Oryctolagus cuniculus: one gene and its partners. Each later gene encodes a partner of the first gene's protein in a complex. Links are inferred from orthologs where the notes say so. Each region holds a gene or a part of one and is shown in the gene's direction. Other genes may lie near its edges. The genes, in order: HTATSF1, DDX46 and SF3A3.

Evidence for each region.
Region 2: HTATSF1 (region 1) and DDX46 share a complex: the UniProt entries of both Homo sapiens proteins name them as parts of the 17S U2 SnRNP complex. The link is inferred for Oryctolagus cuniculus from reciprocal best matches to the Homo sapiens genes HTATSF1 and DDX46.
Region 3: HTATSF1 (region 1) and SF3A3 share a complex: the UniProt entries of both Homo sapiens proteins name them as parts of the 17S U2 SnRNP complex. The link is inferred for Oryctolagus cuniculus from reciprocal best matches to the Homo sapiens genes HTATSF1 and SF3A3.

What each region holds. Positions count from the first base shown.
Region 1 is NC_091453.1:114,309,052-114,319,442, forward strand, and holds the end of HTATSF1 (17S U2 SnRNP complex component HTATSF1), read left to right. Parts: intron 1-1,795; coding exon 1,796-1,885; intron 1,886-2,788; coding exon 2,789-2,926; intron 2,927-3,756; coding exon 3,757-5,007; 3' UTR 5,008-5,995; downstream 5,996-10,391. UniProt on the Homo sapiens protein: Component of the 17S U2 SnRNP complex of the spliceosome, a large ribonucleoprotein complex that removes introns from transcribed pre-mRNAs.
Region 2 is NC_091437.1:22,994,192-23,004,194, forward strand, and holds part of DDX46 (probable ATP-dependent RNA helicase DDX46), read left to right. Parts: intron 1-2,276; coding exon 2,277-2,428; intron 2,429-4,443; coding exon 4,444-4,557; intron 4,558-5,167; coding exon 5,168-5,333; intron 5,334-6,253; coding exon 6,254-6,374; intron 6,375-7,250; coding exon 7,251-7,426; intron 7,427-8,310; coding exon 8,311-8,432; intron 8,433-10,003. UniProt on the Homo sapiens protein: Component of the 17S U2 SnRNP complex of the spliceosome, a large ribonucleoprotein complex that removes introns from transcribed pre-mRNAs.
Region 3 is NC_091438.1:134,819,208-134,829,210, forward strand, and holds part of SF3A3 (splicing factor 3A subunit 3), read left to right. Parts: coding exon 1-74; intron 75-2,539; coding exon 2,540-2,612; intron 2,613-2,932; coding exon 2,933-3,024; intron 3,025-4,334; coding exon 4,335-4,417; intron 4,418-5,063; coding exon 5,064-5,202; intron 5,203-5,820; coding exon 5,821-5,889; intron 5,890-7,173; coding exon 7,174-7,241; intron 7,242-7,404; coding exon 7,405-7,512; intron 7,513-9,450; coding exon 9,451-9,520; intron 9,521-10,003. UniProt on the Homo sapiens protein: Component of the 17S U2 SnRNP complex of the spliceosome, a large ribonucleoprotein complex that removes introns from transcribed pre-mRNAs.

The sequences.
Region 1 (10,391 bases):
GAGAAAAAAAAACTCTGTAAGAAAGATAGATACATTTAAGTGCTTCCCAGAAAGTGTAAGTTGACTTAAATAGAAATTCATAGAAGGATATCTTCTATTTGTATGTAGTTGAAATTCAGGTTGATTTTCTTTTTCTGTCTTTTTCAGGCATTGAGGATTGGAGAAAAATTTGTTAATTTCTACAGGGAATCTTTTTTTTAACTTTTATTTAATAAATATAAATTTCCAAAGTACAGCTTTTGGATTACAGTGGCTTTTACCCCCCATAACTTCCCCCCCACCTGCAGCCCTCCCATCTCCCGCTCCCTTTCCCATTCCATTCACATCAAGATTCATTTTCAATTTAGTATATCAATTTAGTATATATTAAGTAAAGATTCCAACAGTTTGCACCCACACAGAAGCACAAAGTGTAAAGTACTGTTTGAGTACTAGTTATAGCATTAATTCATATTGTACAACACTTTAGGGACAGAGATCCTACATGGGGAGTACAGTGGCTCCTGTTGTTGATTGAACAATTGACACTCTTGTTTATGGCGTCAGTAATCACCCTAGGCTCTTGTCATGAGTTGCCAAGGCTATGGAAGCCTTTTGAGTTCACAGACTCTGATCTTATTTAGACAAGGTCATAGTGAAAGTGGAAGTTCTCTCCTCCCTTCAGAGAAAGGTACCTCCTCTTTTGATGGCCTGTTCTTTCTACTGGAATCTCACTCACAGAGATCTTTCATTTAGGTCTTTTTTTTTTTTTCTGAGTGTCTTGGCTTTCCATGCTTAAAATACTCTCATGGGCTCTTCAGCCATATCCAAATGCCTTATGGGCTGATTCTGAGGCCAGAGTGCTGTTTAGGACATCTGCCATTCTATGAGTCTGCTGTGTATCCCGCTTCCCATGTTGGATTGTTCTCTCCCTTTTAATTCTATCTGTTAGTATTAGCAGACACTAGTCTTGTTTTGATCCCTTTGACTCTTAATCCTATGTTATGATCAATTGTGAACTGAAACTGATCACTTTGACTAGTGATACCTTGGTACATGCCACCTTGATGGGATTGAATTGAAATCCCTAAGGAAAATCTTTAAACCTCTTGTTATGGGGAGGAAAGTCTACCTGAATTTAAAGCTACTAGAAACAGTAGTGCTTGGATGTTCTTATTAGAGTTGTTCATAGTTGCAAGAAAGCAACAGCAAGAATGTATGTTATTGTCTGTTTAACATCGGGTAGTGCAATGTGGTAGGAGACAAGATGAACAGGAATGCTCATAAGATTTACCCTGTGATTTAAAATAGACTCTTAGAAGCCTGAAAATCAATTATAGAATACTTAGTCATTGAAAAGGCTATGTTTCTCTGCATTCTAACGTTTCTGCAAGTATGAATCTATCCAAAACACAAAACAAAAGGCTCTCATCACTTCCATTGTGATGGCCATAGACAACATAGGAACTAGCAGTCGTTACTCATGTTCCACACTTCTGCCATCACAGTTGATGTAGATTTGGAATTGCCATTGATACTTCTCTTGGCTTTCCCTTACCACTGTACACCCCTTCTGCCATCTGCCATATTTGTCTATTTCTTCTATCTTAAAGCGGGACATATTGTCGTAGTAACAGTGGCTCAAGTAGTCTAGCTTCATTTGATTTTGTTGTTGTTAATTTTATAAACTGTAGACAAGCATAACCAACCTTAAGCAAAATGCTTTTTTATTCAGTTAGTAAGAACAAGATATTTTTCAGGATTTATAGTTAAAGAAGTGAGCAAAAATTCATTTTAATCATTTGTATTTTTGCAGGATGATCCTTTGGTGTTGAATGAGATAAGAGAAGACCTTCGAGTAGAGTGTTCAAAGTTTGGACAAATTAAGAAGCTCCTTCTCTTTGATGTAAGTTCATGGCTTGGACAAATGAATCCTAGATCAGTCATTCTTCCCACTGAATAAGTGGTGACCAGACATTTAGATGCCCATGAATTTTAGATGAATATTTTTATATAGACGACCTGCTATCTTGTGTTAGTGTTTAGTTAGTAATAATTAGATAAACATAGATTGCAAGTCAAAGCTTTGATAGATTTGGTTATTCCTTGTTCATTTTTCTTCATCATCACTCTATAATATTTGATCAGGAAAATAAAGTACAAGAAAAATGTATGAGACCTTATGATTCCCTGTTTGCCTGCCTTTCTCCCTCTCTGGGAATTATTCTCTCCCTGCATATTTGAAACAATCAGGAGAGATAATTCTTCTTTATGTTTCCCCTTTGTATCCTTTTTGTGCTTCCAAAATTAAAGCATAATAATTAAAAGTCACCATTGCTTGTGTACTACATGGTGTGATACATGTTATCCCATTAAATTCTCATAACCCTTGGAGGTATATAGGCATTATTCCACCCATTTTCTGGATGAGGGAGCTAAAATGTTAGAGATTGAGCACTTTGTCCAAGGTCATTCAGCTGGTAACTAACAAAGCCAGGATTTCATTCCAGGGCTATCTGGCTTCAGAGTTTACACTCTTAACGGTTATACTTTCTTGCCTCGCATTAGACAGTGTTGTCAGCAAAAGCATTTCCAAGGACATTGCTTGGTTCTTGCTAGATAAGACTAAGCTAAAGAAGCAGCTGGCTGCATTTTACAAGCTGTGATCAAAGAGAAGAAATAATACATAAAGTCATTTAGCTTAAAGTAGCAAAGAGAACGCTACTCCCTACCTACTGTGTCACATGCTTGTATGTCTTATGTTTTTATCTTATCATTTGTTCCTTTTTTTTCCTTGTTGTCTTTCTAGAGGCACCCAGATGGTGTAGCCTCTGTGTCCTTTAGGGATCCAGAGGAAGCTGATTATTGCATTCAAACCCTTGATGGAAGGTGGTTTGGTGGCCGTCAAATCACTGCTGAAGCATGGGATGGGACTACAGATTATCAGGTAAATTCTGCAGCTGTCAAGGGCACATCCATTGCATCATCACTAACAAGTACTAATACAGCAGCCCTTCACATTTAGGTTTTAGGTTCCGTTTTATCTGTTTAATGTAGCAATACTTATTTTAAATACTATTTTGCATCTGAAGGTTAGTAAGAGAAATATTTCAGTCTTCCAGTTTATGAGTCTGAAATTTTGAGGCTGGCTTAGGATAGTGTAAGAAAAGAAGACATTGAGCCAAAATGTTTCTCTTCCTTTCTATGTCATAAAGTACAGTTGGAGCTAAAATATTAACTTTTGAAAAGGTGAGAAATTGCTACAGTACTGTGGTGGTTTCATTTATTTAAATGATCTTATTTATGGTAAACTCTGGTAAATCATGATGTAAAGTTTTTTAAAATTAATTGATTAACTAGTTCGACAGGGAGAGAGAGAGAGATCCCCCATCCTCCAGTTCACTCCCCCAAATGTCTGCAATAGCCAGGGCTAGGCCAGGCCAAAGCCAGGATCCTGGAACTGCAACTGGGTCTCTCATGTGGATGGTGGTTGGAACCCAAGTACTTGGGCCCTGGTGGATGTTAGCAGGAAGGTGGATTGGAAACAGAAGCAGAACTTGATCCCAGGCACTCCGGTATGGGATGTGAGCATCCCAACTGGCAACTTAATGCACTACCACAACACTTGCCCCAAGATGGAAATTTTTGAAAATTTAAGATGGAATTGTTTTAATTTCTGAAGAAGAGGTACCATTGATCAATATTAGAAATGCCCAGAGAGGTTACTTCTTTTTGCCTAAAAGTTTTTTTTTAATGACAGTTTCTATTTATCCACAGGTGGAGGAGACCTCCAGAGAAAGGGAGGAAAGGCTGAGAGGATGGGAGGCTTTCCTCAATGCTCCAGAGGCCAACAGAGGCCTTCAGCGATCAGATTCTGTTGTTGCAACAGAAAGGGCAGGGCCTTCTAGAGTAAGGCACTTTTCAGAGCACCCTGGCACATCTGAAATGAATGCTGAAGATTCCGCAACTGAAATGGCGCTTGAAGAACCTATTGATGAGAAGTTTGAAAAGGCAGAAGATGGGGGAGGCTTTGAAGAAGATGCTTCTGGAAATGATGCTAAAGAAGGTGGCCCCAAAAAAGAGGCCAAAGAAGAAGAATGTGAAGAGAACTGCCCTGAAGGAGAGTCTGAAGGAGACTGCCCTGAGAGAGATTGTGAAGAAGGCTGCCCTGAGAAAGAGTCCGAAGAAGGCAGCCCTGGACAAGAGTTGGAAGAGGGGACTCCTAAAAAGGAGTTGAAAGAGAATGGCTCTAAAAGAGAAAGAGAATCTCCAAAGAAGAGATTCAAAAGTGATTATGAAGAGAATGGCTTTGTGAAGGAGTCCAAGCAAGATGACCCCAACAAGGATTCTGAAGAGGAGGGTGGCCCCAAAAAGGAGTCTGAAGGGGATGACTCAGAGAGAGAATCTGAGGAAGAACACTCAGAAAAACTGTCTGAAGATGGCTCTGAAAAAGAATTTGAAGGAAACGGTGTTGAAAGAGATTTTGACGAAGATGGCTCTGATCAGGAATCTCATGGAAATGTTCTTGAAAATGAGTTAGAAGAAAATGATACAGACAGATCTGAATATGATGAGGGCTCTGAGAGAGTGTTAGATGAGGAAGGCTCAGAGAGAGAGTTTGATGAAGATTCAGAGGAGAAGGAAGAAGGGGAAGATCCATATGAAAAAGTTTTCGAAGATGAGTCTGATGAGAAAGAGGATGAAGAAGCAGATGAAAAGGGGCCTGAAGATGCTGACGAAAAGGAGGAAGAAGCCAATGCAGATGAAAAGTTCTTTGAAGATTCTGATGAAAAGGAAGAGGAAGAAGATGCAGATATGAAGGCAGGTGATGAGGTAGAGGAGAAGTTATTCGAAGATGATGATTCCAATGAGAAGTTATTTGACGAGGAGGAGAATTCCAATGAGAAGTTGTTTGACGATTCTGATGAGAAAGGGACTTTGGGTGGTTTTGAGAATGCTAAGGAAGAAGGGCCCCTGTCCACAGGCAGCAGCTTTGTCCTCAGTAGTGATGATGATGATGATATTTGATCCCTTAAACTTGCTTCTTAGGGAGAGTCCTTCATCTCCATTTGCCTGTGCTTCAGGGTCATTACTAGTAGTGTTATATGAACATGTGCATAGTGGTAGGCTGCCATCATACTAATGCATTGGAGTTTTTTTCATTGTTACCTGTGCCTAATGATTTTAAATGTGTTCTTTGGCTGTTCAGTTAAAACTTCAGTTATGATGCAAGTAAACTGGATATTTGTCCTTTTGTCAGATTTGTTAAATGCATGCAGAATAATATTTTTAAAAGTATTCTGATTGAAGTTTGTGATATTAAAAAAATAAAAATAAGTTGAATTATGCAAAAACTGAAAATTGTACTTTGAGTTACACTGGATTTGGAGTTCCTGCTATTGCTTTATTCATACTAAAGGTTGGTTTTTCTAAGGACTTGAAAAATCCTGCTGGAGTCTCTCTCTCTCAGCTTGTGTTAACCGCTACAGCCCCATTTTCTTTCTCTAAACTGGAACCTGTTGCTAAGCCCATAAAGGAAATAACACTCGGGATTTTTTCATAGCCCAGTCCTTGCAGGTTACCTTTTATTTGTTTTCTACCTTTTTGTTATTAAAATTAACTGTTAGATATACACAAATGATCTTACTGGAAGTATAGGGAAGGAGATTAGAATTCTACCCTACACTGTTTCTTGACCCTTTTGTGTTTCTTTAGAAGTTGATTACAGTTTTGGGACTTACAGGAAAATGTACACATACACACTACACAGCTGCTTGTGTACTATTTGGGGAGGTTCATGGATCCTCTGAACTTAAGTACCTTTATCTTGCACACTTCAGTTTGCTTTCATTTTTGTTTTAGAATCTCGGTGCCTAGCATTACACAGAGTTGTGTCATCCCAATAAAATTGTGAATCTTTCTTCATTATATCCAAATTCAGAATTGATGCATTTAATTTGTAGCACTCAGAAGTTTTCTTATAAAACAGAAAATAAATTGTGTCGGTGTTCTTTCATCATAGTGTCTGTAAGTGTAATCATTACCCTATTTAGAAAAGGGCTTCTATACTTCAAGGTCATTTGTCTTAACAACTTTTTAGATGTTCTCTGGGGATTTCTTAAAATCCTCAGGATTTTCACCAGGGATAAGTCTGTAAGTAGTTAAAAGAAACTAGTTTAAGAAGTTAAAAAGAAAAATTGCATACCACATAGTGTTCCCTTTAAAGATAATCAAGAAGCATTTGAACATTTATTGGAGAATTGATTTCCTAAATGAAAAGAATATTTACACAGTGATTAGGATACATAGCTGATAACAAATTAAGGTCATTGTAAGGAAGGCATTTCCATCTACATGAAAATGCACTCTTGGGAATCCAGAATCTGTCAAAAGATAATGGGTACATCTAGTCTGTTCAGATATTAACCATTGTTTAGTAAAGATTCCACCATTTGGGGATGGAAAATACATTAAGGATGTAGTAAACTTTGCTTGGGAACTGCACTAAAAACATTGCTGACCCTGGCATGCTACCATCTCCTGTGTAAACACACATTCTATGCGTGTGTGGAAAGAGGCTTCAGTTATGGGAGGCTGCCCTCACATCTTGACCTCTTTTCTCCTGCTCTTTAATTTGGTTGATATTAAATACTCATGTTCTTTTCATATAAACACTCAAAGAAGACACCAAAGAACTATAAAGTGGTAAATAAGACATGATAGAAATTAAGTCATGAGGCACACAGACCCACATGATTATGAATTAGGTTTTATATTGGTTCTGAAAACTATTGTAAAGCAACAATACATACTGTTATCAAAAGGGAATAAATTTTGGGAGGTGGCTTCCAAGTACAGAAATGCTGGAAACTTATCTGATAGAATTTCTAAATTTAATGCTCACTAGGCTATTTAATTTACACAAAATATTGAATAATGCATTCAACCATAAATTCATGAACCAGAAGTTGATTTCTGGCATGCCTTAAATGGTGTGAATGCTTTGTTTTCTGAGTCTATGAGTACCTTGTATGAGTACAAATGTGAAACTTCACATTAGATATTTTTTAAAAAAAATACTGGTCTTGGCAATATTACTGAAATGCTGAAATCATTATTGCTTTCTACAACAGAAACTTTAACAAGGCAAAATTGGAATAGTTTTTGTTAAGTATGTCTCTTTTCCTTTGCAAGTAGTAACTCTCCTTGTCACCCTGGGGAGCCAATGCAGTCCATTTGGAAGTCATTACCTCTTCCTTTTCAGAATGTAATCTATTTCCCTAATGTAAATTGGTTATTTCTGAGGCCCTGAGAGAAGATAGGAATTAGCTAATATTAAGCATTTCCCAAATAATAAGATGAATCACATTTTTTAAAGCCAAACATTTTCATGTAATGCAAAGAAGTGCTCTTAATTAATTTGAACAAATCCATGGCTTAGAGAATAGAGAGAGGCTTGTAAATGTGCCGTTCATGAATATTGTCAATATTCTTTTAAATAAAGATTTCTATCTGAAAGAATGAGAACCACAGAGTTCTTCCATTTGCTAGTTCACTCCCCCAAATGATTGCAATGACTGAGGCTGGGTCAGGCTGAAGCCAGGAGCCAAAGACTTTATCTGGGTCTCCCACATGAGTGGCAGGGGCACTTTGATCATCTTCTACTGCCTTCCCATGCATATTAGCAAAGGGCTGGCTCAGAAATGGAGCCACCAGGACTGTAACCTTACCAGCAATGTGAGATGGGATGCCAGCATCGCAGATGGTGGCTTAACCCACTGTGCCACAACCTGGCCTCTGTTGTCAATATTCCTATGGATTGTTTTTTCCCTATAAAGTTTCAGATGCATGCCTGTTTTTATATGCTCACTTCAATTCATTTGAAATGAGCTGGTTTGGAGCCAGAATTATGGCTCCTTGCTAATGTGCCTGGGAGGGCAGCTGAAGATGGTCCTTGCCATCTACGTGGTAGAGAAGGAAGGAAATCCTGGCTCCTAGCTCCTGTCTTCTACCTGGCCAACTGCCTGATGTGGCCACTTAGGGAATGAACCCATTTTTCTCTGTCTCTTCCTTTCTCTCTCTCATTCTGCCTTTGAAATAAGCAAAAATGTATCTAAAAATGAAATTTTAAAAATCAGTTGGCTGAAGAGATGTTTGCTTCTTACCACATCTCATGTTACATGACTGGCTTTGTTTATAACTAAGTAAAAAACTTCTTGATACAAGAAAAAAAAAGTTCAACTTATTCCTTTCCAAAATCACAAGTTGATATTGCAAATAGCCTAAATTCTTGGATACCAGTTGGCACATAAAACGACTACATAGCAGAAATACTTCATCATGTAAAGTTGACATTTGGTTGTTTGGAATTTTATAGGTTTATTTTACCAAGGTTTTTAAAGCAAGGAAATACTGATGTTATGGTGTTTAAGATGCATTACCATCAGAAAGCATAAACAGATTGTCTTGTGTTCATATTTTAGTTATCTGCAGAACTTAAAGACTGTAATGTTAATATACAGTGTTCATCCCAGGCTAGATTACAGAAAGCTAGGATAGCAGCAGCAGTATGAAAGTATGGCTTTTTTGCTGCCTGTCTTCTGCTTTCTGCACTGCTTCTTAGTTTCTGCTGAAACAGTAATGATAATATTAGAAGAGCCAAGCTCAGAATAAAACAGCTTTTAAAAAATTTCTATTTATTTGAAAAGCAGAGGAGGAGAGGGAGAGAGAGACTTCAGTATGCTAGTTCACTTCCCAAATGGCCACAACAGCATGGGTTATGCCAGGCCGAAGCTGGAAGCTAGGAACTCCATCCAGGTCTCCCATAGGATGTCCTATTCCATGGATGGGCAGAGGCTCAAGGACTTGTGCCATCCTCTGTTACCTTCTCAGGTGCCTTAGCAGAAAGCTGGATTGGAAACAGAGTAGGCAGGACTTGAACTGGTGCTCATATGTGGTATACTATCCTCCTGAGTGACAACTTAATCCACTGCACTATAACAGAATAAAACTGCCCCCCCCAGAATAAAACATCTTTTAATTTACCATTTTCCAGGTTTATCCTTGAAATTAAACAAGCAATATTTGTAAAGCTACATCTTAATGTAAAATTTCCATATTTAACTAAACATGTATGTCTGAATTTAATATTTAAAAATATGGTTATCTTTACTTCTTTTCCCAAAAGCAACTTTATGCTACCTTGTAAATTAAAAAGCACATGCTTCAGTTTTTATGTGATTCTTAAGTAGTTACAGATTAGAATTAATAAAAATGTGTACAGCATTTCAGTGCTTCTGATAATCACCTTAGTGGAAACCTTGATTATCTCATTGACATTCTGTTAGACTATTGATCTAGTGTATTCACACTCACTCTAAAATCTTTGAATAATTTGATTTAGTCATTTAGCAGGCCTATGTTGGGCTAGTGTGTGCCCAATTATATGCTAGATGAGATGTAGCAGTGAACAATATAAAAGCATGGACCCTCCTTCAATGACCGGTGTAATGCCTGTGTTGAAAGACACAGCTGAAAAACAATGTGACATTGATCCAACAAGACCAATTCTAGAGCCTGGAACAGTATCAGCACATAGGAGTTCAGCAAATATTTGTTAAGTGGATTCATTTATCCTGATTCATGTGAAGCAGTTCATTGGCTACACCTACCTTGTCAGTCTTCTCCCAGTCTTACCACCTCTGCACAACTGTTCAAACCAAAAAATCTTGCCTCCTTTATCTCTTATATTCAAGCCCTATTGACTGTAACTCCAAATATATCCAGACTCTGAATACTTTTCCCCATCTCCGCTCCCATCACCTTGGTACAAACTATCACCTCTCACCTGCTTGCCTGAAAGAACATTCAAGCTGTACTGCCTATTTGCACTTTTGTACTATTCCAAGAAATTTTTAAAAGTATTTATTTGAAAGGCAAAATGACACAGAGAGAAGGAGAGACAGAAAGAGATCTTCCATCTGCTGGTTCACTCCCCAAATGGCTGCAATGGATGGGGCTGGGCCAGGCTGAAGCCAGGAATCTGGAACTCCAACTGGGTCTCCCACATTGCTGGTAGGGGCCCAAGCACCTGGGCCATCTTCTGCTACTTCCCCAGGTGCATAAGCAGGAAGCTGGATTGGAGGTGGAGCAGCTGGGACTTAAACCAGTACCTCCAATATGGGATGCTGGAATCGCAGGCAGCAGAGTAACTCACTGCACCACACACTGGCCCACCAAGAAATTTTTTTACAGAACAACTAAGGACATTAAAACAAAAATCACTATCCCAATTGCCCTGATAGCTTTCTATTAAAGTGCTCCAATAGTACTTAAAATAAAATTCAAACACTGTGCTGGGGCTTGCTCGGAAAAAGTCTCAAAATATCTTGCTCCTGCTTGACTCTCTAGAA
Region 2 (10,003 bases), on another chromosome or scaffold:
TTAGCAGGGAACTGGATTGTAAATGGAGCAACCAGGATTTGAACCAGCACTTTATGGGATGACAGCACTGCAGGCCAGGGCTTTAACCTGCTGTGCCACAGCGCTGGTCCCACTTAGATTTTTTTCACTTTTTAAAGTTTTATTTGAGAGACCAGCAAGACACAGCACTAATTTGCATGTTTAATTCCTAAATACCCACAGTGGCGAGGACTGGGCCTATCCAAAGTAGGAAGCCAGGAAGTCAGTTCAGGTCTCTCAGGTGCTGGGCAGGGCCCCATTTACTTGTACCAACCCTGGTGCCTCCTGAGGTCTGCCTTAGCAGGAAGGTGGAATCGGGAGCTGGAGCTCAGTCCCGTATAAGGCACTGCCGTATGGGACTGAGCCAAGTCTCCAGAGTACTGACGGGCCGGCCGAGCACCCCGCCTGGTGTCGGCTTTTGATTATCACCAGTTGGGCTGTGAACATGGATGCAGAAACACCTGCTGAGTTCCTGTCCCCAGTTCTTTGGGTGTGTGTGTAGTGGTAGGATTGCTGGGTCAATATTGTGTCTTTAAATGCTCCTTTTAATGTTTATGTTTGAATTTCACTTGTAGAGTTCAGTAAGAATTGCTGATGGATGTTTAAGAGTAAAGAGAGCTATAGGCATAGTTTGTAAATAGCGGTTTTATTTGTTTACTGCTTGTGTGAATGTTGGTAATGAGAGTAAATTAAGGGTGCGCTTTTAGCTCCCTCCTGATGTTTCATAATTGAGGAGAGACGCTTTTCCCTTCCATATCAGATTTTCTGTTAGTAAATTGGAAGGTTTTGGACTTTTATATTATAGGAATATCGAATTTTGGTCCATTTTCTGTGAAAATTACTAAGAGTGGTTTAATTAGATGAATGCATTCTGTCTATAAGTGGTCTTAATTATGTGAAAAAGATTATACTGTGTTGATTTAATAGAGGTGCTTTTTTTCCTAAAGGTAATTGAGGAGAAAATTAAAAACATAGTTTAACAGAGAAACTCTTTAAAACAAACCTATTTTCATTTTAAAAAAAAGATTTCTTTATTTGAAAGGCAGATCTAGAGGGAGTGAGAGAAAGAGAGGTCTTCTGTTTGCTGGTTCACTCACTGAATGGCTGCAGCGGCTAGAGCTGGGCCAGGCTGAAGCCAGGAGCCAGGAGCTTCTTCCAGGTCTCCAGTGTGTGTGCAGCAGCCCAAGCACTTGGGCTATTGTCTGCTGCTTTCCCAGGCACATTAGCCAGGAGCTGGATCAGAAGTAGAGCAGCAGGGACTTGAACCCGTGCCCATATAGGATGCTGGACCCACAGGCGGTGGCTTCACCTGCGTAACCTGCTACGGCGCTGGCCCTTCATTTCTTTGAAAGGCAGAGAGAAAGAATCTCAGATTCTCTGGTTTACTTCCTGGATGTTCACACCTGGCAGATCTAGTCTAGGCCAAAACCACATGCCTGGAACTCAGTCTGAGTTTTCTGTGTGTGAGCCAGGTACCCAAATGAGCCATTGCCTAATGCAAGGTGCTCATCAGCAGGAAGCTGGACTACAAGTGGAAGTGGGACGTGGTCTCATGCTCTGTTGTGGAGTGTGACTTCACTGTTATACTAGACGACAGACTTTTTAGTTCTTCTAGCAGTGTAGCTATAAAATCTAATACTGGAGACCAATTTTTAAGGTGCAGTTCATTTTTTTTCCCTTTTCGGTGAATTGATTTGTAGGCCATTGGCTTTTTTTTTTTTTTTTTTTTTTTGACAGGCAGAGTGGACAGTGAGAGAGAGAGAGAGAAAGGTCTTCCTTTTGCCGTTGGTTCACCCTCCAATGGCTGCCGTGGCCGGCGCGCTGCGGCCGGCGTACCGCGCTGATCCGATGGCAGGAGCCAGGAGCCAGGTGCTTTTCCTGGTCTCCCATGGGGTGCAGGGCCCAAGCACCCGGGCCATCCTCCACTGCACTCCCTGGCCACAGCAGAGGGCTGGCCTGGAAGAGGGGCAACCGGGACAGAATCCGGCGCCCCGACCGGGACTAGAACCCGGTGTGCCGGCGCCGCTAGGCGGAGGATTAGCCTAGTGAGCCGCGGTGCCGGCTGGCTTTTTTTCATTCATCAGTATTCTTGTTATTCAGAAGGAATCCACTGCTTTCCATAAATGTGAGAACTTCGAAGTGTAAGCATCCGAACTGCAGTGTGCCTGGCATGGAGGGGTGGGAGAGGGCTAGCAGGGTGGGCGTGGCGTCAGTCTGGCAGAACACCCGTGCGAGGACAGTGTGTTTTGGTATTTCAGATGATGAAGATGATGCTGCAGAAGCTGAGAAGGACGGGAATGAAGTGGAGGGTGAGGAGTTGGACCCGCTCGACGCTTACATGGAGGAGGTGAAGGAGGAAGTGAAGAAGTTTAACATGAGAAGTGTGAAAGGTGGCGGGGGAAATGAGAAGGTACGCTCTTCTCTGCATGTGAACTCTGTGCTTTCTGTTTCTTTCCCTTCTCAGAGCTGGCAGTACTGTTTCTCGGTGCCAGAGACACCGAGATTAGGTGTGAAATGTTCTTCAGCAGGCCACTTTGCCCTCCATACTGTGTTTGTGCAATGTCTTTCCTTGCTCATTATTTCTCAGTACGTCCTCTACAGACTTCTCCAACACTTTCCATTTTTTAAAAAATGATTTTAGCTATTTATTTGATAGGTAGAGTTATAGACAGTGAGAGGGAGAGACAGAGAGAGAGGTCTTTGATCCCCTGGTTAATCCCCAAATGGCCGCAGTGGCCGGAGCTGAGCCAGACCAAATCCAGGAGTCAGGAGCTTCCTCTGGGTCTCCCACGTGGGTGAAGAGGGTCTAAGGACTTGGGCCATCTTCCACTGCCTTCCCAGGTCACAACAGAGCTGAATTGGAAGAGGAGCAGCTGAGACTCAAACTGGCACCCATATTGGATGCCAGTGCCACAGACAGACAGAGGATTAACCTACTGTGCCACAGTGCTGGCCCTTAGCACTTTACTTTTTCAAGTTTTCATACTTGACTCTTGTCATCCTGTTCTGGCTTTTTTTTTTTTTTTTTTTTTTTCTTTTTTAAGATTTATTTATTTGGAAGTCAGTTATAGAGATAGTGGACGAGACAGAGAGAGAGAGAGAGAGAGAGAGACAGAGATTTTCCATCTGGTTCACTTCCCAGATAGTTGAAACAGCCAAGACTAGACCATGCTGATGCCAAGAGCAAGGAGCTTCATTTCGGTCTCCCATGACGGTGGCAGTAGTTCAGGCACTTGGGCCATCTTTTGTTGCTTTTCCCAAGACTTATCAGGGAGCTGGATTGGAAGTGGAGCTGCCAGGACTCCAACCATTGACTCTCTTTTTCTTTTCTTTCTTTCTTTTTTTTTTTTTAAATGAGATTTTATTTGTTTACTGGAGAAGTAGAGTTGCATACAGAGGGAGAGACAGAAAGAAAGGTCTTCCATCTATCTACTGGTTCACTCCCCAAATGGCAGCAATGGCCAGAACTGGGCTGATCCAAAGCTAGGAGCCATGCTGGTGCAGAGGCCCAAGCACTTGGGCCATTTTCCAGTGCTTTTTCAGGCCATATCAGCTGGATTGGAGGAGGAGCAGGTGGGACTAGAACCGGTGCCCATATGGGATGCTGGCACCACAAAGCAGAGGCTTAGCCCACTCTGCCATGGTGCCGCCCCTTCCCCCTTTTCATTTTAAATAGCATTTATTTATTGCCTCTTAACATTATAAAATTTTGATTTTTTTAAAAAATATTTATTTATTTATTTGAAAGGCAGAGTTATAGAGAAAAGGAGGGATTGACAGAGAGAGAGGTCTTATTGGCTGGTGTACTCCCCAAATGGCTGCAGTGGCCAGTTGGACTGGTCCAAAGCCAGGAGCCAGCAGCTGCTTCTGGGTCTCCCAAGTGGGTGCAGGGCCTTGACCATGCTCTGTTGCATCCCAGGCACATTAACAGGGAGCTGGATTGTAAGTGGAGCAGTTGGGACTTGAACTGGTGCCCATATGGAATGTTCCCATTGCAGATGGCTTTACCCACTATGCCACAGCACCGGCCCCATCATTATACAATTAAAATTTTTTTTGCATTTACTCTTTGTGCTTTTCCCCTTCTAAAATACAATTTCCCAAAGGCTGTGAGCACTAATGTTTTGCTTATTTATTCATCTGAACTCTTAGAATAGTGCCTGATTTGTTTCATGAGTGAAAAATAGTCTATATATAATCATTTTATAAAACTGTATTATGCAACAAACTATATTTGAATCCATTATAAAATACAATGTATTTCATTTAAACTTCTATGCTAAGGAGCACAGCAGAGTCTTCTCTATGATTAAAGGATCACAATGAAGTTGATTTGAATCATAAGCTGTGACTGTTATTGTGCTTCGTTTGGCATGTGAGTTCTGTTTCAGTTTTGCAAACTTGTATCTTCCCTTTCGATTTTAGAAGTCTGGACCCACGGTCACAAAAGTCGTCACTGTTGTGACAACCAAGAAAGCAGTCGTGGACGCTGATAAGAAGAAGGGGGAGCTGATGGAGAACGACCAGGATGCCATGGAGGTGATTCCTGGTTCGGGGACTTTGTGATCCTGTCCTTGGAGGGTGTGCAGTCAGTTCTGCAGATTGCCACTGGAAGGGACTCCTGCTGTTCTTAGCCGTGCAGTAGTTCTGTTGTTAAAGAGACCACTGGTGAACCTTTCTGAATCTTTCACTCTCTCCTTCTCCCACCCCACCCACCTCACCCCAGGAGTCGAATATAAAGGGAAGTGAAATGGCAGTGAGTTTTACATTTCTTCCACTAACATGCTGTGAAGGTTTATGTAATAAGTGAGAGCAGTAGGACAAGCTCATTAAAGCCATCTCTGAGAATGGTTTTTGCTTTATATTGGCATTGTAAGTTTCTGTAAGGGCAGAGAAAAAAGAAATTGAAAAATTCCTCAGAACCTGGTACTTCATTCATAAAAACTGACTTCATTTTAGGTCAGTTTGAAATTAGGAGTTTTAAGTTTTTTGGAGCAGCACAGAAGTACAGGCCAAGTCATCTATTTTAGAAAGCAAAAAAATAAAAGCTGTCGAGTGGTGTCTGGAAGAAGAGACTTTTAAACACTAGGACTGTTACTTCTCGTAAGAGGTAGAGTACTGAACCTGAACTCTCTGTTTTAAACTATAGTATTCTTCAGAGGAAGAAGAAGTTGATCTACAGACGGCCCTTACAGGCTATCAGACAAAACAGAGGAAACTGCTGGAACCCGTTGATCATGGAAAAATTGAATATGAACCATTTAGAAAAAACTTCTATGTTGAAGTTCCAGAACTAGCAAAAATGTCTCAAGAGGGTAAAATTCTTTTATTTATGTGTTGGTTGCAGTGGCAACAAAAGAGGATTTGTCTTACTTTGTCCTGGATAAACGGGGTGGGCTGTGAGTTAAAGGGGCGTGTGTTGGGGATTATTAGAAAAGTGAGCAATAATGACTTCAGCTTATGCATCTGGTATTTTTAGCATTGAAAATACTAATGTGAGGTTAAAAATATTTCTGTGAGTCCTTACCTTCGGAGATTTGAGTTAGCAGCTTTAGCTATTGTGTGTTATTGGTTGGATAGAGATAGTGAGGCAACTCTTGCTAGGAGGGTAAGTGGTTTGAGTTACCGTTCACTATTCTTTAAGATTTATTTATTTGAAAGTCAGGATTATGGAAAGAAAGGGAGAGATCAATTAAGAGATTTTCCATCTGCTGGTTCACTTGCCAGATGATTGCAACAGCCAGGGCTGGGTCAGACTAAAGCCAGGAGTTTTATGTGGTTCTCCCACATGGGGCTCAAACACTTGGGCCATCTTCTACTGCTTTACCAGGCCATTAGCAGGGAGCTGGATTGGAAGTTGAGCAGCTGGGACGCAAACTGGTTCCCATTTGGGATGCTGGCATTCCAGGTCGTGGCTTTATCTGCTATGCCACAGTGCTGGCGACATTGCCTTTTTGTGCTGTTAAAAAACCAAAAACTAATTGTTGAAGTCTGGGTTTTTATTTTTGATTTTTATTTTCAGTTAATTATGACGGTAATCGCTTTAACTATCTAAATCTTTTGATGCTTTCTCCTGTATCTTTGATAATATTAAAAAAAAATTATCGATATGAAAATATCTTTGATAATATTAAAAAAGAAAGGAGTTAGAATTCTTGATTGTCCCATTCCTAACTGAAAAGAAGACACCAACAAACAGTATTTAAGGGTTTTTAATCTGGGTTTTGCTTTGCAGAGGTGAATGTATTTCGATTGGAAATGGAAGGTATTACAGTCAAAGGAAAAGGTTGTCCCAAACCAATTAAATCTTGGGTCCAATGTGGAATTTCCATGAAGATCTTAAATTCCCTCAAAAAGTAAGTGGTGATGATTGTGTATATTTTGCCGTGTGTTGGTACTCAAAATAGTCCTTTCACACAAATAACTTCCTGTGTTGTGTTTTTACTCTAATAGAAAAGCTTTTTTTTTTTTTTAAACTTTTATCTAGTAAATATAAATTTCCAAAGTACAGTTTATGGATTACAATGGCTCCCCCCCTCCCATAACTTCCCTCCCACCCGCAACCCACCCATCTCCCGCTCCCTCTCCCATTCCATTCACATCAAGATTCATTTTCATTATCTTTATATACAGAAGATCAATTTAGTATATATTAAGTAAAGATTTCGTCAGTTTGCACCCACACAGAGAAAAGCTCTTTTTCTTAAATGTTTTCATGTACTTCAAGAAGTTGGTAGAAAATGGAATTAGATGATAAGGCACAATTTCCATGACCATTCTGAAGTACTGTTGAATAATTTACATATCATGAAATTTAACTCTTAAGGTCTGTAATTCAGTGTTAGATTTATGGAGTTGTGCAGCCATCACCATAATGTAATTTTAGAGCTTTTTTTTTTTTCATTCTGAAATGAACCTGTGTCTATTAGTGGTCATTCTTCTCCCATTTCCACCACCCTGTACTGCTATCTATAGAACTGGCTATTCTAGACCTTTTATAAAAATGGGGTTATGCAGTATGTAGTCATTGGTGTGTGTTTTTTCATTTAGCATGATAATATCTTGAAGATTCATCTGTGTTGTAAAATGTCCTAGTTCTTATTTCCTGTTTATTGCCAAATAATATTTTGTTGTATGGATTAGTCACATTTTGGAAGAGCTTATTCTTAACATCTCTCAGGAACTCGGAGTCCTCAGTTCTTACCTGCTTTTCCTTTGGTTTTTCTTTTCAGGCATGGCTATGAAAAGCCCACACCTATCCAAACCCAAGCAATTCCTGCCATAATGTCTGGACGAGATTTGATTGGCATTGCCAAAACAGGAAGTGGAAAGACCATTGCTTTTCTGTTGCCCATGTTCAGACACATCATGGATCAGAGGTCCTTAGAAGAAGGAGAGGGGCCAATAGGTACAATACTTCTCATTAAACTTTTAAAGGATTAACAGCTTTGTTGTCAGTTAATCAGAAGGACATGATGTCTTATCATTTCTTAACTATGACAATAAAGATATCTCTGTGTCCATATCCTTTTTCAATATGGCACTTTGGGGCTGATTTCCCCTTACCAGCAGGTGGAGTGAGACTTTCGGAGCTCTGGAGTGACATCTCAGAAGTACAAAAACAGCCTCTCCGGCACAGCTCAGTTTTTATGCTCTGACTCAGCAGGTAGCCCCTCGTGCATCTGTCTGTTTATCTGCGTTGAGGTTTGTTCTAGCCGAGTGTCGGTGGATGTGCTGAGAACTAGGCAGATGTGATTTCCGAGTTTTCTTGGTAACGGCCTTAAGGCTGCAGTGCCAGCATTTGCTCCAGCATTAGGCCTTCTGATTCCTATTTCTTGATTCATTTGGGCATCTTCTGCAAATGTAAGTGGAGTTCTGGAAAGTTGTCCAGCCCCTCTCTTGGAAATACAGGGCACAGTATTTTTCTCCTCTGTCTGTGCCCCTCAGACCAAGGTTGTTTCCGGAAGCAGCGGTATGGCTTCTGCAGCACAGTGAGTCACTTGATTTTCTTTGATTTGCAGTTGAGAACTATTTGCATTCTGTTCAACCAACCATTTTCCCAAGGGTTGAGTGTGGCATTTAAGTCTCATTTATTTTCCTGTAGCATGTTCCTAAAATCTACCAACACTTACCCTTCACCACAACCTCTGCTGTTTTAAAGTTTTTGAAATAGAGCTTTCAGAGGTTCATAAAACAAATACAAATAAAAATTAGACTGAGAGATCTAACAGTTGAAAGCACAGCCTCTCAAGAATTTTGATGGTTAGGGATTTGACATATTTATCTTTTCAGCTGTCATCATGACTCCGACTCGAGAATTGGCTTTGCAAATCACTAAAGAATGTAAGAAGTTTTCAAAGACCTTGGGACTTCGAGTGGTGTGTGTTTATGGAGGAACAGGAATCAGTGAGCAGGTAGGTATTTATAAATGAAACGTTCAAGTTCTTGTTCTTTTCTCAAATTGAATGATCAGTAAACGGAGTGATCTTGAATTTTAGTGTTTCAACTAGTGATTGCCTCTAAAATCTTAAAACATACTCAGTGTGCAAACAATTGTAGAATTGGATTAGGTTATGATGGATACATACTTTCTGGAGATTGTAGACAATCGAGACAATAGTTAATAATAGTGTCATATATTTAAAACTTACTAAGAGAGTAGATCTTTAATATGTCTGCCTAAAAGAAAAAATGCTAGCTGTGCGGTGATGTTAGCTAGCCTGATTGGGGTGCTGATTTCACAATGTGTGTGTATTGGAACGTCACATTGTGTGGCACCTTTGCAGCACAGTGGGTTAGGCTGCTACTTGGGATGCCCTTAGCCCATATACAAATGCTGGTTTGACTTCCAACTACTCTATTTTTTTTAAAAAATCATTTTAATTTTTTAAAAGATTTGTTTATTTGAAAGGCAGAGTTACAGAGAGAGGTAGAGACAGAGACGGGGAAAAATCTTCCATTCACTGATTAACTCCCCAAATGACTAAAATGGCTGGATCTAGGCTGATCAGAAGCCCACAGCTTATTCTGGGTCTCCCATGTAGATACAGAGGCCCAAGTGCTTGGGCCATCTTCCGCTGCTTTCCCAGAAACATTAGCGGGGAGTTGGATCAAAAGTGGAATAATTGGGACTCAAACTGACACCCACATGGGATGCCGGCGTTGCAGGTGGAGGCTTTACCTGCAGTGTCACAAAGCCAGCCACCTCCACTTACCCGCTATCCCCTGTTTTTAAGATTTACTTATATGAAAGAGTTACCGAAAGAGGGAGAGACACAGAGAGAGATTTTCTGATTGACTTCCTAGAGGTCATAATGACCAGGGCTTGGCCAGGGTAAAACTAGGAGCCAGGCGCTTTATCCAGGGTCTCCCACGTGAGTGGCAGGGCCCTAGTTGGATGACCTAGCAGGGAACTGGATTGGAAATGAAGGAACTGTGACATGAAACAGAGCCTACATGGGATGCCTGAGTTGTAGGCTGCGTCTTTACCCCGTACCACAGCACTGGTCCCTGGCTGCTCCACTTCTGATCTAGCTTCCTGCTAATTCGCACCCTGGGAGGCAGCAGGTGATGGCTCAATTCTTGGTTGGATCTCTGTCACCCATGTGGGAGACCTGGTTGGAGTTCTGGGTTCCTGGCTTTGTCTAGTCGCAGCCCTGCTTTTTGTGGTCAGGAGTGAGCCAGCAGATGGAACATCCCTCTCTCTCACCCTAGCTTCCAAATAAATGAATTTTTAAACAATCCATCACATTGTATGTCTTAAATATAAAAAGTTTTTTTCAGTTACACTTTTGGTAAACCTGGAGGAGGGGAGGATGAATTATGGTAATACTCTATTAGAATTTTGGAATGTTTAGAATCTTTTTTTTATGTTAGTTTTTTCTGCTTCCTCTTTTCCCACCCAAGGAAGGCAGATATTTTCTCCATTTTATAGTAAGACCTGGAGCTTGCCCTAGAACCCAGGTCTTCAGGTTACTCCAGTATT
Region 3 (10,003 bases), on another chromosome or scaffold:
GACCCAATGAGTTTGCTGAATTCTACAACAGACTCAAGCAGATAAAGGAATTCCACCGGAAGCATCCAAATGAGGTACGGCCTGGAAAGTGTTTTCCCCAAACCCGCCTACAGAGCGTCCTAAAGCAAAGGCATTAGGAGAACGGAGGTGTGCCGCTGGGTGTCCCTTTGAGAAAGGACTTGGCATTCAGCTACGAGGAGCATAGCTAGCTGACTCTGCAGGAGTGTTTTCAGGGTTCCCCTCTGCTTTTTAAGCTAAGGCCACATTCTTCCTGGACAGGGTGAGCGTTGCAAGACCTGGCTGTCTCTGCCTGTTGGGAGACTTCTCTGCTGAGGAATCTTTGCTCTAGAGCTCCCCGTTAGATGGTCAGGATTTGGTCCAATCTGCATAGAAGTCTAGGCGCGCTCTACCTGATCCTGCTGTCGCCTCCGTTTTAACTTTGACAGGAAGTCTCCCCACCCTCCCAATAAACTGTGGTCCTACCTGGTCTTGGGATATTTTACCTTCAGCAGGGATAGGAACATGTGGCCTTGGGCCTTATAAGGTCACTGAAATAATTGGTGTGGTCCTGCCAAGGCAACCAGTAGGCAGGACCCTAAATCCAATAAATCCATAGTAGACTAGTTTTTAAGTTGATCATTTTATATGGCCCATGAATGATGTTAAAAATACCCAAATGGCCCTTGTCAGAACAAAGGTTCCCCACCCCTGACCTGGAGGATCCAACTAACACCAAGATACTTGAGTCACTTCGAAATTCAGAATTCAACACAGAGGCCAACTCTCAGGAAATCTTTCCTGGCCTCCCCCACCATCTTTCTGTAATCGTTATTTTGTGACAGCGAATGTCCTGCTGCACCATATGATTGGAAGGAACAGGTTATGTCTGAGCATCCAGGACCTTTCCGCACTTCGCACAGCTGACCAGAGGAGTTGTCAGGCGGGCACGGGCAGGAGTGGGTAACCACGTGGCTTCAAGGAGGGAAGAGAAGGGTGAATAAAGATCACTCGGAGTTGTCAGCGGTGTAATTGGAACGTTGTTCTCTAGGTGGAAATAAGGAAGGAGGAAGTAACGATTTGCATTAGAAAAAAGGTTTTCCACGTGTGGCTCTTTCAGTAATGTTTAAAAGTAAACAGTTGGAGTTTGGTGACTGGGCTTCATGCCCGAGGTAGAGGCTTTAATCACCCCCTGGACTTGATGATGGACACTGTTTACCACGGAGTTCTGGGAGAGACAGAATGGGAAGCCAGACAGTCAAAGCTGCTCCGTGTGCTTTGGAACACACCTAAAATAACGCAGTTAGCCGGGCAGGAGCCTGGCGAGACGGCAGGAACAAGGTCAGATGACAGCGGCTAATGGTAGAGTTTCAGAAAGGCAGTCCAAGCAGCGGCTGATGCTGACCCGGAACGGCCAGCACTGCTGTTTGTTGAAGTAGTGGGAATGGAGATTGTCATGGTGCAGTCACGGGGGAATACGAGTATGGTCTGTGGAGCGTGCGTTTGAAAGGAAGAAGAGGAGAAGCTGGAGGGACGTGAGGAGATAGGGGAGGTACACGAACTTCAAGGAGCACGTGGGAAAAGGAAGAGACAGTACCAGAATGGAGAGGCAGCTCGTGGAACTGTGGCAGCAGATGAAGGTACTCACGTGTACGTCTGGGTTCCCTCCCTCGGAGGATGGAGCATGAGGTGTTGCGCTGACAGAGAAGACATGATTACCGTCCTGCTGTACTAACCAGATTCCAGGCGTAAGTGCTAAACAAGTGATTGCGAGGATGCTGAAGATGTCACACAGGCATTAATATCCTTGTACAAACGCATTTTTTAAAAAAGATTTATTTATTTGAAAGGCAGTGCCACACAGAAGGAGAGACAGAGATCCTCCATCCACTAGCTCCCTCCCCAGATGACCACAACCGCCAGTTTTAGGCCAAGCCAAAGTTGGGGTCCAAAAGCTCCCTCCAGGTCTCCCACATGGGTGGCAGGGGCCCAAGAATTTGAGCCATCTCCCGCTGCCTTCCCAGGTTCATTAGCAGGGAGCTGGATCAGAAACAGAGTAGCCAGACTCCGTCCAGTGCTCTGATACGGGATAGGATGCCAGCAGCGCAAGCCGCAGCTTAACTTCCCGCACCAAGATGCCAGCCCCTGAAGAGGGACTTTGATTTTCTCTTCTTGTATTTCACTTTTGTGAGCATGTGTTGATTTAACAGTTTTTTAGTCAAGTAGTGCAAAGAGGATTAGACAGAAATTGGAGTACTTAGGGTAGGCTCCTAGTGAAAAACCCCGGATAAAGCACCAGAAGTTGAACTTTCTGGAGCCAGGTTGTGGCACAGCAGGTTAAGTTGCCGCCTATGATGCTGGCATCCATATGAGTGCTGGTTTGGGTTCCAGATGCTCCACTTCCCATCCAGCACCCTGCTGACGCACTTGAGAAACCAGCGGAAGATGGCCGCGTGGGAGAAGTTGAACCTTCTTTGTACCCCATTTCTGTGACATTGCCACTTTTACATTGAAAAATCCCCCTGACTTCTCTTTTCCTCAGATCTGTGTGCCAATGTCAGTGGAATTTGAGGAGCTCCTGAAGGCTCGAGAGAATCCAAGTGAAGAGGCACAGAGTAAGTGGAGTTCAGCATTGCTCTCCGGCTCCACGGGGCCCTAGAGAAGTTGGTAGCCAGTTATTTTTGCTGGTTTTCCCTTTACTGATTTCTCGCTGAGATTGATATCCTGAGCTGGCCATGAACAAAATACATGTCCATTTGTGCTAGGGTAGCTTGAATTCAGTGGCCTGGAAAGCTGAGGTGTGTTCACTCCGTGAGCAGAGAGGAGGACATGGGGGTAAAGGGTAGCCTCCTGGAACTGGGAGTGAAGCAGTCCATCTGAAAAGTCGTACAAGCAAGTGAGCTGCAGTGGCGTTGGCCTTTTCTGATTCCTTCAGATTTGGTGGAGTTCACGGATGAAGAGGGATACGGTCGCTACCTGGACCTCCATGACTGTTACCTCAAGTACATTAACCTGAAGGCGTCTGAGGTAAGGCCTGCGGGCGCTGAGGTTCTGCTTCTGGAGCAGAGGTCAGGACTGTGGGAACACTGGACGCCTCACGTTACAGTGGCTTAGAAACAGCAAAGCGGCGGCCTGCTTTCTGGAATGAAGCAGCATTCAGAATGAAAGATTTCTACAATAATTTCTACACACTAAGTGTATTTATTTTTTAATACAGAAAACATTGTTTTCTTTGTAAAACTAAACTTTTCATAAACTCAGAAATACATATCACATTCTTGAATGAAGCACACACAATACTAGTGATAGGCACACATGATACTAAGTGCGTGGAAAATACAGCAGCATGATCTCTGCTGGCAGAGGGCTATTTAATGTCTTTTTTTTTACTATTAATTTATTTGAAAGGCAGAGTTACTGACAGAGTTCTGCCACCTTATGGTTCACTCCCCAAATGGCTGCAATGGCCAGAGCTGGGCCGATCTCAAGCCAGCAGCCAGGAGCTTCTTTAGGTCTCCCACGTGGGTGCAGGAGCCCAAGCACTTGGGCCATCTTCTGCTTTCCCAGGCCATAGCAGAGAGCTGGATGAGAAGTGGAGCAGCTGGGACTTGAAATGCAGCCATATGGGATGCTGGCAGTGCAGGTGGTGGTTTTACCCACTACGCCACAGCACCAGCCCGTTTAATGTCTTTTCTAAAAGATATTTTAAAATTACTCATGCAAACAGATGATTACTATGACCATCTCAGTTCACAAGGAGGTATATAAGTTTACTTCAAATAATTTGTGGAAAATGGAATTAAAAGAAAGGTTATTTTGGGATAAAATTTTTTGTGATCCATACATAGGAGTATGATTAAGTTCCTCCCTCAAGAAATTCTGAGGAAATGTCCCCACAGTGCGTGACAACTTTAAGTTCTGTGATGGCAGACCCTGTCTTGTTATCTTCTGCATCCCCCATGCTTGGCACAAAGATGCTCAATGAGTGCATGAATGAACAAGTAGTACCTTTCAGCACCTTATTTTAGGATGTAGTGGTTGTTAAAGTCTTCAGCCAAGATTCTGGCGTGCAGTGTTCCAAAAATTCCCCTTTTCAGATCATTAACTTGATCTTGACATTGTAGAGTTGTGGTGTGTCTGCTGGCCTTCCACTGAGTCCAGTGGAAATATCTCTAATATTGGGGACTGATCCATGGTGGAGGTAGGGGGGAGACTAAAATAGCCAACTCTTGTTACTTTCTTAGAAAGTACTCAATTTTGATCTCACTTACTGAAGATTACATCAGTTTGATGCAAATACTTAATTGAATCTCTTTCCATTTTCCCCCTCTTTGCAGAAGCTGGATTATATCACATACCTGTCTATTTTTGACCAGTTATTTGACATTCCTAAAGAAAGGAAGAATGCGGAGTATAAGAGGTAAGCGTTAGTAGCTGCCAGGGCTCTACTTGATTGTATTAGAAGATACTGTGAAGGTTCAAGGGAAGCGTTCTGAATTCTGCTGGAAAGGCAAACGTGAATGGTTTCCAGATTTATTGCAGGTTAGGGTTGTAAATGATACAGTTTTAAAGAATTTGTGGTACACTGACTTTGGGCAAGCATGTGTCTGTGGGCACATCCGATTTCACGCCCGTACTGTTGTTGATTTTGTCTTATTGTAGAAGGAAGTCTCTCACTCAGAAACTTCGGTTTTTGGAGTTTAGAGAAGAAAAATTTCTCAGATTGTGGCTTAAGTGAGGGGCCTGGGTCTGCTGTATAAATGAAAAGTTACATTTATGCTAATTATGCCACCGCTTAGTGAGCCTGCATCCTTAGCTCCCTGTGTTTTTCTTTTTACCTGCAATCTTTTCTGTAAGAGTTAATTAAGACTTTAGTGCTTGACATTATGTCACAAGGATGAAAGCAGGTAGGAAAAATCAATCAAAATGATACGGTGGGGGAACGTCAATTGTAAACTTAAAAATGAGTTATTACTTTAGTAACTAGCACTATTAGAATTGTAAGTATACTACAGAGAGCATAGCGATGTATTGAAAACAGAACTGTTTGCTGTCTGTGGTGTCAGATATCTGGAGATGCTGCTTGAGTACCTTCAGGATTACACAGATCGCGTGAAGCCCCTCCAAGATCAGAATGAACTCTTTGGAAAGATTCAGACTGAGTTTGAGAAGAAGTGGGAGAATGGTACCTTTCCTGGTTGGCCGGTGAGCTCCAGTGGGGTTTGGGTTTATTTTCCTTTAATCTTGAGTGTCTGCTTAGGGCAGGAGTGGGGAAAATCCAGCCCATGGGCTGTATGAGGCCCACAAAATCATTTGATCTGGCCCTGCCAAGGCAGCAGCGGGTGGAACTTGAAGTTCTATAACAGGCTAATTTTTAAGTTGATGATTTTGGATGGCTTGAGAATGATGTTATAAATATCCAGATGGCTCTTGGCAGAAAAAGTATTCCCTACCTCCACCCAGGGCATTAGGATGTTGTTGGTATCAGTTGTGGCCGTGAGGCGTTGTTCCTACCAGGTGTGCTCGGTTTGCTCTGTGTACGTTGGAACAAGGTTTGTCAGGGCCCATTTGCCGTTGACTGAGCCCTGCTGACCAAAGTTCATTTAAATTATGTGATGATGATCGGTGTTTTCACTCCTGGGGATGTTGCCTGATCCATCAGGGAGAAAATGTACCTTCTGTTTTTTTCTGTGCTCGTGTAAAAACTCGCTCCTTATTTATAAATGTGTATAAAAAAGGGACCCACCAACACCTTTTAATGTAAACAGCTCCCTTACTCTGGTCCTAAACCTGGATTTTCACAAACATCATTGTTCTTGCCAGAAAGAGACAAGCAGCGCACTGACCCATGCTGGGGCCCATCTTGACCTGTCTGCATTCTCCTCCTGGGAGGTAGGTTTTTGTCAGCAGCATCTCTGATCTGTCCATCTTTGAAAACAGCCACACACTCTCCTGCTTTAATGCCATGGACGCGTTATCTTAGGGCACCATTTTCTGGGACCAGGTGTTAACAGAGAATGTGGAAAGAGAAAAATAAATTCACAGCTTTGAAAGTAATTTTTTTTCTCCCCAGAAACCTTTATTTAGGGAATATAAACCTCATGCATTTCCTAAGTACAACTTTAGGAACGTAGTGATTCTTCCCAGAATACTCACCCTCCCATCCACACACCCACCCCACTTCCTTCTCACTCTCCTATTCCCATTCTTATTTTCCACTAAGATCTATTTTCAGTTAACTTTATACACGTACGATTAACTCTTAGTATAGAGTTTAATGAATAGTATGAAAAAAATGTTCCTCAGCAGTTGAGACAAGGGCTGTTCAAAGTCATTGTATCTCAAGGTGTCAATTTCACTTCTATAGATTACCTTTTAGGTGCTCTGTTAGTTATCAGGGAGCACATACAGTATTTGTCCTATTGGACTGGCTTATTTCACTAAGTATGATGTATTCTAGTTTCATCCATTTTGTTGCAAACAAGATTCCCTTTTTTTTTTTAACCACTGTGTAGTACTCCAAGGTGTACATATCCCATAATTTCTTTATCCATTCTTCAGTTGATGGACATTTGGGTTGATTTCACATCTTAGCTATCGTGAATTATGCTGCAATCTTTTTTTTTTTTTTTTTTAATTTTAAGATTTACTTATTTACTTGAAGTTATGGTGAGGGAGGGAGAGACAGAGAACTCATCCATGTGCTGGTTCACTTCCCAAATGATCACAACAGCTGGGTCTGGGCCAGGCTGAAGCCAGGAGATTTTTCTGGGTCTCCCACATGGGCCCAGGCACTTGGGGGATCTTCCGCTGCTTTCCCAGGCACATTAGCAGGGAGCTGGATTGGAAGTGGTGCAGCCAGGACTTGAATCAGCACCCATATGGGATGACAGCATTGCAGGCGGTGGCTTAACCTGCTACACCACAGTGCCAGCCCCAAAAAGGACTAATTCTAACTACATTAGGTTGTGGTGGAAGGAATGGAACACTACCAGATGGTTCTGTCTGGACATGACCACAGAGTCAGTCTTGTGGAGGCTTTGCACTTCCTCAAGGAGATTGACTCTGGGCTGCGTGGCCCTGCCAACTTCAGGAGCACCCACACACCAGCTTTCGTTTGTTGTTGCCCAAAATCTAGTTCTGTGTTACTGGAACCTGTCTCTCTCATTTATGCAGGAGCTGGCCTCCTTGGGTCTGGACAGACTGAAATCTGCCCTCTTAGCTTTAGGCCTGAAATGTGGTGGGTAAGAGAATGACTTTTCTATCGAAACTCCTACTTAGTGTGCACATGTTTACGTGATTTTCTAAGTATTTTTTGTATATTTTCCCATCATCACTTACTGTAAAAACAAGCAAGCATGTATGGTATGAAGTAACCCTGTAATACTTTGTTCCTCCTGTCTCTAGAACTCTCGAAGAGCGAGCCCAGAGGCTGTTTAGCACCAAAGGAAAGTCCCTGGAGTCCCTTGACACCTCTCTCTTCGCCAAAAATCCCAAGTCAAAGGGCACCAAGCGGTGAGTGGCTAAATGGCGCCTTTGCGTGTGAATTTTTTTTTTTTATTATTTATTTATTTTTTATTTTTTTGACAGGCAGAGTGGACAGTGAGAGAGAGAGAGACAGAGAGAAAGGTCTTCCTTTGCTGTTGGTTCACCCTCCAATGGCCACCGCTGCCGGCGCTCTGTGGCCGGCACACCGCGCTGATCCGATGGCAGGAGCCAGGTACTTATCCTGGTCTCCCATGGGGTGCGCCCAAGCACTTGGGCCATCCTCCACTGCACTTCCCTGGCCACAGCAGAGAGCTGGCCTGGAAGAGGGGCAACCAGGAAAGAATCCGGCGCCCCTACCGGGACTAGAACCCGGTGTACCGGTGCCGCAAGGCGCAGGATTAGCCTAGTGAGCCGCAGTGCCGGCTCACATGTGGATTTTAAATTTTATTCTCATGCAGAATTTTTGCAATGGATTTCAAAGCCTGTTTCATTACTTTAATTGGCTTATGGAGATCCATTGTGCTCTTTATCTCTGCTATTGGCAGAGAACTGCCACTGTTGGTAGAAACCAAGTGTAATCTATACTCCCGTAATTGAGAGCACTGAAGTTTGATGTTGAACTAGTGTTATCTGAATAGGTTTTGAAGGCTATAAGACTGAATAAGTTCAAAAATATGTTTCTAGGTTTATTTGTTTATAGATTAACTTTTCTATTTGAAAAGCAGAGTGACAAGAAGAGACAGAGAAAGAGATGTTCTGTCTGCTGACTCAGTCCCCACATGGCCACAACTGTTAGGCCAGGCTGAAGCCAGGACCTTGCAACTCCATCCAGGTCTTCCACGTGGGTGGCAGGGAACCAAGCACTTGGGCTTCTGCTGCTTTCCCACACTCATTAGCATGGAGCTGGATTGGAAGTAGAGCAGCCAGAACTCGAACCACTGCTCTGATACAGGATGCCTAATGTGGTACACTACAGTGCTGGCCCCTCTAAATAGTTTATTTTTACAAAGACAGTTGAGCTACAGGGTTTTTTGTTTTTTGAGAGCCAGAGAGAGAGAACTCGCACTTGCTGGTTCACTACCCAGCTGCCTGCAAAGACTAGGGGAGCAACACCAGGAGCTGGGAACTGAATCTGGATCTCCTGCATGAGTGGCAGGAACTTAGGTCACCATCGCTGCCTCCTAGGGTCTCTGTCAGTAAGAAGTACAGTTGGGAGCTGATAGGCAAACCCAGGCACTCTGGTATAGGATGCTAGTATCCCAAAAAGCATCTTCGTTGATGGACCAGATGCCCACCCTAGGATATTTTAATTCTCACGGCAACCCTGAAAAGCAGTGTTACAGTGGTTTCTCATTTTTGGCAGATAAGGATTCAAGGATAGTTGTGGAGTCTGTCCACTGCCTCACAGTAGCCAAGTAGCAGAGTCGTTGCCGCAGAGCACACTCCTCTACGCCTCGTTCATTTGTACGTTAGAATAGTGGGAACTTCAGTGGTCTTGGAAGGACTCTCACCTTCTAGAGGAGGTCCAATTCCAAGAACTAACCTTGGGGCCGGCACTGTGGTGTAGCCGGTAAAGCAGCCACCTGCAGTGCCAGCATCCCATATGGGTGTGGATCTGCGCAGCTCCGGCCGTTGCAGCCAACTGGGGAGTGAACCAGCGGATGGAAGACCTTTCTCTCTCTCTTTCTCTCTCTCTCTCCCTCCCCCCCTCCCTCCCTCCTTTTCTCCGCCTCTCCTCTCTCTGTGTAACTCTGACTTTCAAATAAATAAATAAATATTAAAAAAAAAAAAAAACCCTCAATGTTCCTGTGAGAGAGTCCAGAGGTGAACAGTGCGCTCTCACAGTGTAAGATTTCTCATGTGCTTCTAATTTTTAATATAGCTGTGAATGGATATTCCCAGTTAAAGAGAGTAAAGCATTGAATGAAAGAACCCTTGAGTGATACCAGTTTTTCTTGTTCTCAGAGACACTGAGAGGAACAAAGACATTGCTTTCCTGGAAGCGCAGATCTATGAATATGTTGAAATCCTTGGGGTGAGTAACTGACTCTGGAGAGTTGTAAATCTACAAAGTATAGGAGTAAGAGAGAGAGCAACTCTAACGGGATGTTTTTTTCAGATTCGGAAGGGGATGCTATTAAACTGATTGAGAACAAAGTAGGGTTCTTGGGGTCCTTGGCGCTTCAGAAAGTTCTATTCTGCTGTCAGGTGATATCCCCAAGGTTGATCCATTCTTGCAAGGCTCTGGCTCGAGAGTAGACTCCCCTCTCAGTGTGGCCTCCAGAATCACACCAGTGAGCCAGCAAATAGGTCCTCAGAGGCAGGTGACAGAAAGGCTGCTCACGGCAGTAGCGTTTCAGATGTGACTCACCGTGAGGAGGCTTAGTGACAAATTCAGAAGACTGTGACAAACTTGGGCCAGAAAATTAGTGGTACAGCACTCCTCCGTGTTTGGGGTTTGTTGTGTGTGTGTGTGTGTGTGTGTGGACAGGCAGAGTGGACAGTGAGAGAGAGAGAG